3 linked regions of the Sus scrofa genome follow. Each later gene encodes a partner of the first gene's protein in a complex. Links are inferred from orthologs where the notes say so. Each region holds a gene or a part of one and is shown in the gene's direction. Other genes may lie near its edges. The genes, in order: GTF2F2, ERCC2 and POLR2G.

Region 1 (3,645 bases):
TGGTGTTGCTGTGTGCTGGGGTGTCGGTTGTAGACATGGCTGGGATTCCACCTGGCTGTGGAGTAGGCGAGTAGCTACAGCTCCTACTGACCCCTAGCCTGGGAACTTCCATATGCTGCAGGTACAGCCCTAAAAAGACAAAAAAAGACAAAAAAAAAAACCCCAAAAAACAAAAAAACCAAAACCAAAAAATGGCACCATGTACTCATACAGTAGTTTTTGAACCTAAAAAAGAAAGGCATCCTCTGCTTATGGGAGTGTTTAAGCTTTCTGAGTAAATAGCTCCCTTCCCCCTGCTTCAAGTACAGTCGCTTTCTTAATACTCTTAAAATGTTCACTCATTCAGCAGATACTATTTTCCTTCTATGTGTTGTGCAGTTTGCTAGGGGATGAATGGATGGATGGATGGATCGATCTATCAATCTGTCTACCCATCCATCTAATATTTATCTAATTTATTTAAGGGTATAAACATAGCAAGACATGGCTCCCTGACCTCAGACATGGTTGGAAAAAAAGTTGTTCTATTTTATAAATGGAATTTTTTCATCCATAGACCAGAGAAAATATTTGAAAATTGTCTTTATAATGGTAGACTAGCCCCATCATTCTGACAAATGGGAATAGGTTCTTTTTTTATGGGTAATTATTAAAGATTTTTTGAAAATTTTCTTTTAAATGCTTCGTAAAGTGACTGGAAAAGATTCACATTTTAAAAAGTATTTGATTTATAATCAGAACTTCTGTACAGATACTTTGAGTACAAAAGTCTATTGTAATAATCTCTGGTTAATGTGTCTGTTAGGTGTCATTTACTTTGAATGAGGAACTTGCAAATATTCATGATATTGGCGGCAAACCAGCTTCAGTCAGTGCTCCTAGAGAACATCCATTTGTCTTGCAAAGTGTTGGAGGACAGACATTAACAGTGTTTACTGAGAGCTCATCAGGTAAGTAGGGATAGAATTATTTAATGCAATTCCTGTATGTGTTGTGTAGACTTCCTGGCTCAGCATACACTCTAAGGCCATTACCAGGGCTGTCCCACCTATCATTCTGTTTACCTCTCATTCATATCGTAGTATTTCTCTGCTCTAAGTATACCTTCCTGTGGTTGATAGAATTTTGGCTGTTACACAAAGGGTTTAATTTCTGTGTGGGACATGAAGAAATAGAACAAAGCAGATGGAAGAGTGTAGTGCATCAAGCTGTCTTCTGGGATGTTGAAGAAACAGTATTCTGAGTTTTGCCAAGATAAGGTCATCTGTGCCTGTTTTGGTAAATTGATATTTAGCAACTGTAAGTTGTGTTTTAAAAAAATACTGCTTCATGGAGTTCCCATTGTGGCTCAGTGGAAATAAATCCAACTGATATCTGTGAAGATGTGGGTTCAATCCCTGGCCTTTCTCAGTGGGTTGAGGATCTGGCATTGCCACGAGCTGCAGTGTTGGTCACAGACGCGGCTTGGATTGGGCTGTTGCTGTGGCTGGGGTAGGCAGCTGCAATTCTGATTCGACCCATAGCCTGGAAACTTCAATATGCTGCAGGTGCGGCCCTTTAAAAAAAGGCAAAATAGGAGTTCCCATCGTGGCTAAGTGGAAACAAATCTGACTAGCATCCATGAGGACACAGGTTCGATCCCTGGCCTTGCTCAGTGGGTTAAGAATCAGGCATTGCCATGAGTTGTGGTATAGGTCACAGACTCGGTTTGGATCTGGTGTGGCTGTGGCTGTGGCATAGGCCAGCAGCTACAACTCTGATTTGACCCCTGGCCTGGGAACCTCTATATGCTGCAGGTGCAGGCACCCCCCCCCCTCCCCCGGCCAAAAAACAAACGCAAAACTGCTTTATATTGGGGAATATTTTAGTCTGGATTTTGGCTCTTGGGTGCTTTCTGTAGTTTGTAATGCATAGCGATTAACTTCTTTTAATTGGTATCGATTTCCAAGAAGCTCTGGGTAAAGTGTTTTGTTTAATTTTGTGTGTTTGCTCTCAAATACTTTAACAGCTCAATGAATAGGGAGCACATGTTTCAGTTTGTGAATTAAATACAGAGGGAACTTTTTTGAGGCCTTTGCAAGAGTATAACCTTGACTAAATTTAGAATATGACTATGAAAGCAGCAGGCCACCCTCCCCCCCTTTTTGTCTTTTTAGGCCAGGTCACCTCATTTTAACAAAATTAATTTCTTTTTTTAATTCTGTTGGAGTATAGTTGACTTAAAATGTTGTATTTCATGTGTACAGCAAAGTGAATCAGTCAAACATATATATATATATCCATTCTTTTTCAGATTCTTTTCCCAGGTAGGTTATTACTGAATATTGATTAGATTTCTCTGTGCTGTGAAGGAGATTCTTGTTAGTTATCTATTTTATATGTAGTAGTTTGTATATGTTAATGCCAACCTCCTCATTTATCTCTGCCCCCCTACGTTTTCCCTTTGGTAACCGTAAGGTTGATTTTGAAATCTGTGAGTCTGTTTTGTGAATAAGTTCTTTTGCATCATTTTTTATTGGATTCCATATATAAATGATTTTGTATGGTATTTGTCTTTGTCTGGCTTACTTCACTTAGAATGATCATCTCTAGGTTCATCCATGGTGCTACAAACGGCAGTATTCTTTTTTATGGCTAATAATCAAATATATATATATGTATCTCACATCTTCTTTACCCATCCCTGCTCATAGACACTTAGGTTGCTTCCATGTCCTGGCTGTTGTAAATAGGGCTGCAGTGAACATTGGGGTGCATGTGTCTTTTCAAATTATGGTTCAGAACTAATTTCTCATACTTAATTTAGAAAGTATATTGATTCAGAGTTTCTGTTGTGGCTCAGCAGGTTAAGACCCTGACTTAGTGTCTGTGAGAATGTGGGTTAGGTCCCTGGCCTCACTCAGTGGGTTAAGGGTCTGGCATTGTGGAAAACTGCAGTGTAGGTCACAGATGCCGGTCAGATCCGGTGTTGCCGAGGCTGTGGTGTGGGCCGGCAGCTGCAGCTCCAATTCGACCCCTAGCCTGGGAACTTCTCCAGCAGGTGTGGCTGTAAAAAAATAAAAATTAAAAAAAAAGAAAGTTGATTGGTTGTGTAAAGAAAAAGATCCGTGGTTTTGCTGTATTTTCATTAAACATTACAAAGAAAACCATAAGAAATATGTTAAGGGCATTATTGTTGTGAGGATTAAAATTCGAAGATTAAGGGCACCAACCCTCACACAATTGAAAATGCACATATAAATTACAGTCTTGCTCTCCTCATCTGAGATTCCTCTATATCCGAGGTTCTGTGTGCTCGGATTCAACAACTGCAGCTTGTGTAGTACTGTAGGATTTGCTATTTAAAAAAATCCACACATAAGTGGACCCACACAGTTCAAAGCCATGTTGTTCAAGGGTCTGCTATACTCAGATAATTTTTTTTTTTTTTTTGGTGTCTTGGAATGCCAACAGATGCGTAAACTGATGTCAGAAAATAGTCGTCTCGGAGTTCCTGCTCCGGTGCAGGAGATCAAGGTCTGGTGTTGTCTCTGTAGTGGCTGCTAAGGCACAGGTTTGATCCCCAGTCCAGTGCAGTGGGTTAAGCATCCAGTATTGCAACAGCTGTGGGGTAGGTCACAGCTGTGGCTCTGATGTGACTCCTGG
Region 2 (3,645 bases), on another chromosome or scaffold:
GAGGGGCACCTGGTCGACCGTGGAGGAAAGGAAAGGAGGTTCAGGAAGCGGGTTTTAAACCTGACTGTCTGCCTGACACCAAAGCCGTGCTGCTGCTCCACAGCCTCTCCCTGAAGGGTGAGAGCCTTGAGTGGCCCTGTGTTGTGTACGGGCTGTTGCTGGACACAGTGTGTGCGAAGCTCCGGGAGTGTGTGTGAGATTGTCTCCCGAGTGTGTGGGACTCTCACGCTGTGTCGCTGAGGGTGGCGAGCGTGGCTGAGACACTGAGAGAGGACCTGGGAGGGAGCAAATGGTGATGTGGCCGTGTGGGGTTCGTGCAGTGACTGTGGGATTCTGGGCGTGCTTGTGGGTTGCCCCTTCTGACCAAGAACCTGCTCATGAGCATGTGGCCCCCTGTGACGTGACCCTGTGACTCTGAGCTGTGTGATTATTGCTCCGAATGTGCCCTCGTATGGCCGTGGCCCTGTGGGATGTGGGGGACACAGAGGGGACTGAAGCAGACCCAGGCCCCGCCCTCATGGAACTTCGGGCAGCTGGGGAGATGGCACCTGGGCCCGTGCTCTGCTGGAGGGGAGGGGGCTGCTGGATGTGCCTGAGCTGGTCACTGTCGCCCCTCACCCCATCCTCCACCCCCCCACCCCCCCTCCAGATTCTGCGCCGAGCGCCTGCGCTCCCTGCTGCACACCTTGGAGATCGCGGACCTTGCTGACTTCTCCCCTCTCACGCTCCTCGCCAACTTTGCCACCCTAGTCAGCACCTATGCCAAGGGTAAGCGCCCCTTCCTGCCTCTGCCGGCCCCGGCAGCTGGAATCGGGATCTCCGTGGGGTTGCCCGTGGGACTTGGACGAGCAGGACCTTGTAGGGCTGGGCTCCGGAGTTTGCGCTTTATTTTGAGGGCAATAGGGAGCTACAGACAGTTCTTGAGTGAGCGAGCCTTGTGCTCAGATTTGTGTTTTTCAAGCTCCTCTCTGGCTGCAGGGTGAAGAAGGGTGGGGCGGGTGGTGGCGTGACATGAGGCCAGAGAAGTTCTGTGGGGTCAGCTGGCCCTGGGGGGCATGGTAAGGAGCTGGTCCGTCTGCTCCCAAGGGCATTGAGGAGCCACAGCAGGTGCCATGCAGGGGAGAGGCAGGGTCACTTGGTGCTTTGGAATGATTCCTCTGGCAGAGCTGGGCCAGGGCGGGAGGAGAGAAGATGCGGGGCTGGAGAGAGACCTGGGAGGTAAAGAGGCCGGGAGGCTGGTGCTCAGGTTGCCAGCTTGCAGAGAGCAGGGCAGCGTCGCAGAGGCTTCGTCGCTCAGCATTGCCTCGCCTTCCTCAGCTTTAAGCTGGCCAGGGGCTCAGCCTAATCCCCGGGGATTACTCCTGTGTCCAGGAAACTAGGTCAGGCCTGCCAGCGCCCTGCGGCCAGCCGGTCTGGGCAGGGCCTTGGCGGGGGGTGACGGCCGTCCCCCTATCCCAAGGTCGATCAGCGGCAAGTCCCCTGGAAGCCGCCTGCTGCGTCCATCCCTCCATTCACCCTGTCTTCCCTTGGGCTGTCTCGCTCCTCCCTCCCCCCTGGCAGTCTCTTCCCTGGAACAGCCTCCCCGTCTTCTTCCTCTGCCCCCACTGCCGCCACCTCACCCGTCAGTTCCTGGCTCAGGAGAGAAGCCCCCTCCTCCCCCAGGAAGCCCCTTCTGGCCCCCAGGCTGGATCAGGCCCTCTCCTCTAGGCTGCCCTGTCCCAGCCCTCCCCACCCAGAGAGGTCACTCTACGGGACAGGTCAGTGTCCCCATCACTGGACTGTGAGCCCTGAGAGGGCAGGACCAGGGCTGTTTCAGTCCTGCTGCATCTCCAGCATAGGCTTAGGTGCAAAAGACTTGATTTTGGGTTGTTTTAATTTTTACTAAGTGAAGGTGTGTGGATTCATTCATTCATGTATTTGTTCAACAAGTGGGCCAGGCCGGCACTGGGGCCAAGTGGCAGGAATCCAGAAAGACCTCATTCCTGACTCCCAGAACTTATATTCTAGCGAGAAGACAGGTAGCAGAGATGCAAACACAAGTCAGGAATTAATTCCAGGAAGTGGTTGTTTTCATGAGAAACAAACATGTCTCCATGGTGGAGCAATGCCTGCAGTGGCCGGGGTGGCTTTTCTGAGAAGCTGACATTGGAGCTGAGTTGCAAATGACCGCATGGAGCCAGCTTGGGAAGCTTTCCGGGCAGGGGGACCAGTGCAGAGACCCCGGGGTGGAATGAGCTTGGTGATTTGAGCAGTTAGGCTGGAGGCCCAGGAGAATGGAGGAAATGGGGTTGGTGTGGAAGGACCCCACAGACAGTTCCGGACCCTGGGAGGGGTTTGGGGGGCTGTGGGGGGCTTCTGAGCAGGGGAGAGATGTGACCTGATTCAGGATTTCCAGGGTCCCCCTGGCCGCTGGGAGTGGAGAGGCCAGCGCAGTGGTCCAGGCAGAAGGGGATGATGGCCGGACTGGGCAGGGGCTGGGGGAAGGGGTCAGAGGGCAGACTTTGGAGGTAGAGCTGGCCGGCTTCCTGATGGCTTAGAGAGGTGGTGGGAGAAAGCTCGAGGCTTTGGCTCGAGTGGCGGAGAGGGGAGAGTGAGGGTGAGCCTTTGTGCTCCCGGCCTAGGGTCCCCTGGGCGTGTTTGCACAGGTGTCGGCCTTGGGGAGAAGCGGGCAGGTTGGGGTGTATTTTGGACTCAGGTGCGTGGGTTTGGGGTTTGGGCTGTTGGTAGCTGGTCCCATTCACCGAGGAAGGTGGGCAGGGGGGACTGGGGTGGAGGGAGACATTGGGGGTGGGGGGGTGGCCGAGTGGGCATGGTCATGACTGGTGCCCCCTGTAGGTTTCACCATCATCATCGAGCCCTTTGACGACAGGACCCCAACCATCGCCAACCCCGTCCTGCACTTCAGGTGAGACCTGACCCCAGAGAGGGTATGAATGGACCACAGCGGCCCCCGCTCCTCAGCCTGGCCCCATCACCCTTGTCTGCTCCTCACAGCTGCATGGACGCCTCGCTGGCCATCAAACCCGTGTTTGAGCGCTTCCAGTCTGTCATCATCACATCTGGGGTGAGGCCCTGGCCCTCCACCTGGGGTGGGGGTACCCTGGTTCCTGCCCAGTCCTGCTAAGATCCCTCCTGCTGTCCCTGCTACAGACGCTGTCCCCACTAGACATCTACCCCAAGATCCTGGACTTCCACCCCGTCACCATGGCAACTTTTACCATGACGTTGGCCCGGGTCTGCCTCTGCCCCATGGTGCGTGGGGAGGGTGAGGAGATGAGGGAGGGAGACGGGAGCGAGGGCAGGAGAGCTTGACAGCTAAGGGCATGGATTCTGGATTCAGCCAGACCTGGGCTTGACTGTGACTCCCCAAGCCTCAGTTTTCTTATCTGTGAAATGGGAATGTCCCCTCCCTGCCCTCCTAAGGGGGTTGGGTAGGGGGGGTTAGTGAAATAGTGGGTGTGAAAGGCTCTTATGGCCTAGGCCCTGCTACTTGGTTAATGTGGCTTTGCCCTTGCTGTGACGCTGGTAAGTGACCCTCTACTCCGCCTCAGTCCCCTTCCCTGTAAAATGAACATCATAACATGGCCCTCAGTCCTGTGTCAGAATCCCTGGGCCGGATGTGTTTTAGAATTGAGAATTTTCCAG
Region 3 (4,270 bases), on another chromosome or scaffold:
TTTAATTCTATTATTATGAACTTTTTTTTTTTTTTTGTCTTTTGTTGTTGTTGTTGTTGTTGTTGCTATTTCTTGGGCCGCTCCTGCGGCATATGGAGGTTCCCAGGCTAGGGGTTGAATCGGAGCTGTAGCCACAGGCCTACGCCAGAGCCACAGCAATGCGGGATCCGAGATCCGAGCCGCGTCTGCAACCTACACCACAGCTCACGGCAACGCCGGATCGTTAACCCACTGAGCAAGGGCAGGGACCGAACCCGCAACCTCATGGTTCCTAGTCGGATTCGTTAACCACTGCGCCACGACGGGAACTCCTGAACTTTTTTTTTTTTTAAGGGCTGCACCTGCAGCATATGGATGTCCCCAGGCCAGGGTCCAACTGAAGCTGTAGCTGTCGGCCTACACCACAGCCACAGCAACAACAGATCTGAGCGGCGTCTACAAGCTACACCACAGCTCACAGTAACGCCGGATCCTTACCCACTGATTGAGGACAGGGATCTAACCAGAGTCCTCATGGATACCAGTCAGATTTGTTACCACTGAGCCACGATGGAAACTCTCTATTATGATCAATTTTAAACATACAAAAGTAGAAGGAAACATATAAAAAGCCACAGTTTATCCATCATCTGGCTTCAACAATCATTAATACATCGCCTGGAGTTCCCCTCCTGGCTCAGCAGAAACGCATCTAAGCATCCATGAGGACTCAGGTTTGATCCCTGGTCTCGCTCAATGTGTTAAGAATCCGCATTGCCCTGAGCTGTGGTGTAGCTAGCAGAGGGGGCTCGGATGTGGGATTGCTGTGGCTGTGGCACACGCAGTTCCATGGCTACAGCTCTGATTCGACCTCTGGCCTGGAAACCTTCATATGCCACGGGTGCAGGCCTAAAAAGACCAAAAAAAAAAAAAAAAAAAAAAAAAAGTCATTGCCAAACTTGTTTCATCTGCACCGCTGCCTTTTTTTTTTTTTCAAATATTCATTTAATTTTAAGACAATTACATTTTAATAATGGCTGTGTTTAAGAATTAGCTTGCAAAATTCCTGAAATAGTAACAGTTGGCTTTTGCAGGGGCTCCAGCACACCACTGTCAGCAGGTAAGTTTGCTCTTGCAGGGAGGCTGGCTTCAAAAAGAGGGAAGGAGAGGGGTCAGGGCTGCTGTGGTCCTGGCCTCCGTTCTCTCCAGATAAGAACAGATAGTTATTATGCTTACTCTGTGAAAGCAGTCTTCAACTGTTTGCTGAATGAATATATTCTGCTAAAGCGCTTTATTTATGACGTCTCTCATTAATTAAATCCACCGTTTGAACTTCTTGTCTAGACCTGGCCTTGCTAATTTGTGAGCGTCCTGTGCTTTTACAGAGGGTGGACTGGACGAAGGGGGAGGAGCTTCGTGGATTTCCCCGCCCACGAAAACGGGGCCCAATCAAGTCCGCAGACGAGACGTGTTCCCGCCCACCTCTCTGGGGCAGGCCCGGAAGCGGGATTGGGGAGGTTGGTGTACTTCCGGTCCTGCCGGGGGTTTTGCTGCTGCTGCTGTCGCTGTTTTAAGCCTGGCTGCTCTCGGCCTGGCTGCTGTCCAGCCTCCTCCGGGAAGATGTTCTACCATGTGAGCAGGGCCCGGGGTGGCGGCAAGGGTAGGGTCGAGAGGAGGAGCGAAGCGGAAGGCCGGGAGTAGGGGGCCGCTTCTTGCCTGGTCTCCATCCCACGTTCTCCGCAGATCTCCCTGGAGCACGAGATCCTGCTGCATCCGCGCTACTTCGGCCCCAACCTTCTTAACACCGTGAAACAAAAGCTCTTCACTGAAGTGGAGGGGACCTGCACCGGCAAGTGAGTGTCCCGCTCTCCGTGCTGCCTGAGCAGTGCGCCCTCGGCGCCCGGTGCCTTCATCCCCTCCTCAAGTCCTGAAAGTTTGTGCTGTCTACCCTGGAGAGCCCTCTCACCCACCCAGACGGCCCAGGCAGTCATTTGCTTCCTGCTTCGGGTTCCCATGATGCCCTCTGCGAAGCTGGATAACGGGACTAACTTCCCTCAGCCAAGATTGGTCATTCATTTACTTTACAAACATTTCCAAATCTCCAGCTGTGTGCCAGGCTCTGTGTTGGGCCCTGGGAATAATGCAGTGAGAAAGACAGAAGCGGCCAGCTCGAGCTCATAGTCTCTTTGGATTTTGCTGGTTTTCTTTATCCCCCACGCCCAGGGACCTGTCATGGCACATTGGGCTTCACTAAAAGTGTGTTGAATGAGGGAGTGACCAGGATAAAGCAGATTGAGAGTTAGGGGGAGGAAGGAAGAGCACTGACGTTTGACCGTCTCTTTGCTCTGCACAGAGGGACCTCTCATCTGGTGATGTAGACAAACCAGGATGAGCAGGGCCATGGAGTACTTGGGGCTCCAGCATCAGAGCAACTGGGGGTGTCTTTTGAACATACAGGTTCCTGAGCCTCATGTCATCCTTACAGCATCCCCATATCTCTGGGGACAGGCCTGGGGATATGCATTTCATATATATATATGTATGTTTTTTTTTTTTTTTTTTCTTCTTTTGCTGCACCCTTGGCATGTGGAAGTACCTGGGCTCAGTAGGTTAAGTATCTGGCATTGTCATTGTTGTGGCGTGGGTTCTATGCTTGGCCTGGGAATTTCTGAATGCCACAGGCCAAATAAATTTTAAAAAGAGATTGAGGTCTCTTGGCTCAAGGACTGCAGCCCTTTTGGACACTTATTGTGAACTTATGAGATCAGCATTTGGCTTTGTAGATGCTGGTCATTGCCCTGTCTTCTCTCTTGATCATTAAGTTCTCTGGGACCAGGAGTGCCATCTACTTGCCCTTTGTGATGCCCTTTAACCCCCAGGCTCGGTGACTCTTGTGGCAGATTTTTTTTTGTCTTTTTTTGGGGGGCTGCACCTGTGTCATAGGAGGTTCGCAGGCTGGGGAGGAATCGGCACTGTAGCGGCTGGCCTATGTCACAGCCACAGCAGCGCCGGATTTGAGCCACATCTGCAACCTACACCACAGCTCACAGCAATGCCGGCGTCCTGAACCCACTGAGTGAGGCCAGGGATTGAACCTGTGTCCTCATGGATACCAGTTAGATTCGTTTCTGCTGAGCCACAACCAGAACTCCTCTTGTGGCAGATGGTTTTAGAGGCTCTTCCACACCTTTCTCTTTCTCATCCTCCCTGCAGGTATGGCTTTGTAATTGCTGTCACCACCATTGACAATATCGGTGCTGGTGTGATCCAGCCAGGCCGAGGCTTTGTCCTTTATCCAGTTAAGTACAAGGCCATCGTTTTCCGGCCCTTTAAAGGGGAGGTCGTGGATGCTGTTGTCACTCAAGTCAACAAGGTAAGTCCATCCACAGGGCAGGTAATGGGAAGTCCTGAGAAAATCTGGGATGGGCCCCAACTCTTACTTGCTAACTCTGTGTCTTTGGCCAAATCACCTCTTTGTGCTTCAGGTGTCCTTACCTGCCAGATGGCATGGGAATCTTGTCCTGCCTCACTCAGGCAGGTGTAAAATGTAAGTCAACATTAAGAGTCAAAAGAGCAGTAGCTTCCATTGATTGAATAGATCCTGTGCACCAGGTGAAGTGCAAAGCCTCACAATGACTGTGAGGCGAGTGCTTTTACCTCCGGACTGAAGCTTGGAGAAGACTGCTGGCCAAGGTCATGTGGCCGACAAGTGTTCAGATTCCAGACAGACAGGTTCGAGGCCTCAGGTGTTGACTACTACACTCTGTTAACATAAAGTGAAAGTTTGAAAAAGGAGAGATGGGGGAAAAAATATAATTGTAATGTATACATGTAAGGATAACCTGACCCCCTTGCTGTACAGTGGGAAAATAAAAAAAAAAAAAAGAAAAAGGAGAGAAAAATGAAAACAAATGCCAAATTTCAGAGTGGTTTCAAAACATGAAGACTATTATTAGGATGCAGATAAAGACGGGATGCTCAGCAGACAATGGGGACAAAAGAAAAAACTAGGTCATTCATTTCCCTTTTAGGTCGGACTCTTCACAGAAATTGGGCCCATGTCCTGCTTCATCTCTCGACATGTAAGTCCAGGCGGGCTAGGTGGGGCTAAGGAGGAGACATTCATTCCTGACCGTCTCTTTCTTTTTTGGGCTGCACCTGGAGCACGTGGAAGTTTCCAGGTCAAGGATTGAATTGGAGCCACAGCTGTGGCAATGCTGGACCCTTAATCCATTGTGCTGGGCTGGGGATTGAACCTGCATCCCAGCAGAGACTTGAGCTGCTGCAGAGA

What was found.
Region 2: GTF2F2 (region 1) and ERCC2 share a complex: the UniProt entries of both Homo sapiens proteins name them as parts of the TBP-based Pol II pre-initiation complex. The link is inferred for Sus scrofa from reciprocal best matches to the Homo sapiens genes GTF2F2 and ERCC2.
Region 3: GTF2F2 (region 1) and POLR2G share a complex: the UniProt entries of both Homo sapiens proteins name them as parts of the TBP-based Pol II pre-initiation complex. The link is inferred for Sus scrofa from reciprocal best matches to the Homo sapiens genes GTF2F2 and POLR2G.

What each region holds. Positions count from the first base shown.
Region 1 is NC_010453.5:22,113,893-22,117,537, reverse strand, and holds part of GTF2F2 (general transcription factor IIF subunit 2), read left to right. Parts: intron 1-805; coding exon 806-950; intron 951-3,645. UniProt on the Homo sapiens protein: TFIIF is a general transcription initiation factor that binds to RNA polymerase II and helps to recruit it to the initiation complex in collaboration with TFIIB.
Region 2 is NC_010448.4:51,740,385-51,744,029, reverse strand, and holds part of ERCC2 (TFIIH basal transcription factor complex helicase XPD subunit), read left to right. Parts: intron 1-649; coding exon 650-768; intron 769-2,835; coding exon 2,836-2,905; intron 2,906-2,994; coding exon 2,995-3,064; intron 3,065-3,150; coding exon 3,151-3,252; intron 3,253-3,645. UniProt on the Homo sapiens protein: ATP-dependent 5'-3' DNA helicase. Component of the general transcription and DNA repair factor IIH (TFIIH) core complex, not absolutely essential for minimal transcription in vitro.
Region 3 is NC_010444.4:9,005,821-9,010,090, reverse strand, and holds the start of POLR2G (DNA-directed RNA polymerase II subunit RPB7), read left to right. Parts: upstream 1-1,459; 5' UTR 1,460-1,599; coding exon 1,600-1,611; intron 1,612-1,722; coding exon 1,723-1,832; intron 1,833-3,192; coding exon 3,193-3,352; intron 3,353-4,010; coding exon 4,011-4,061; intron 4,062-4,270. UniProt on the Homo sapiens protein: Core component of RNA polymerase II (Pol II), a DNA-dependent RNA polymerase which synthesizes mRNA precursors and many functional non-coding RNAs using the four ribonucleoside triphosphates as substrates.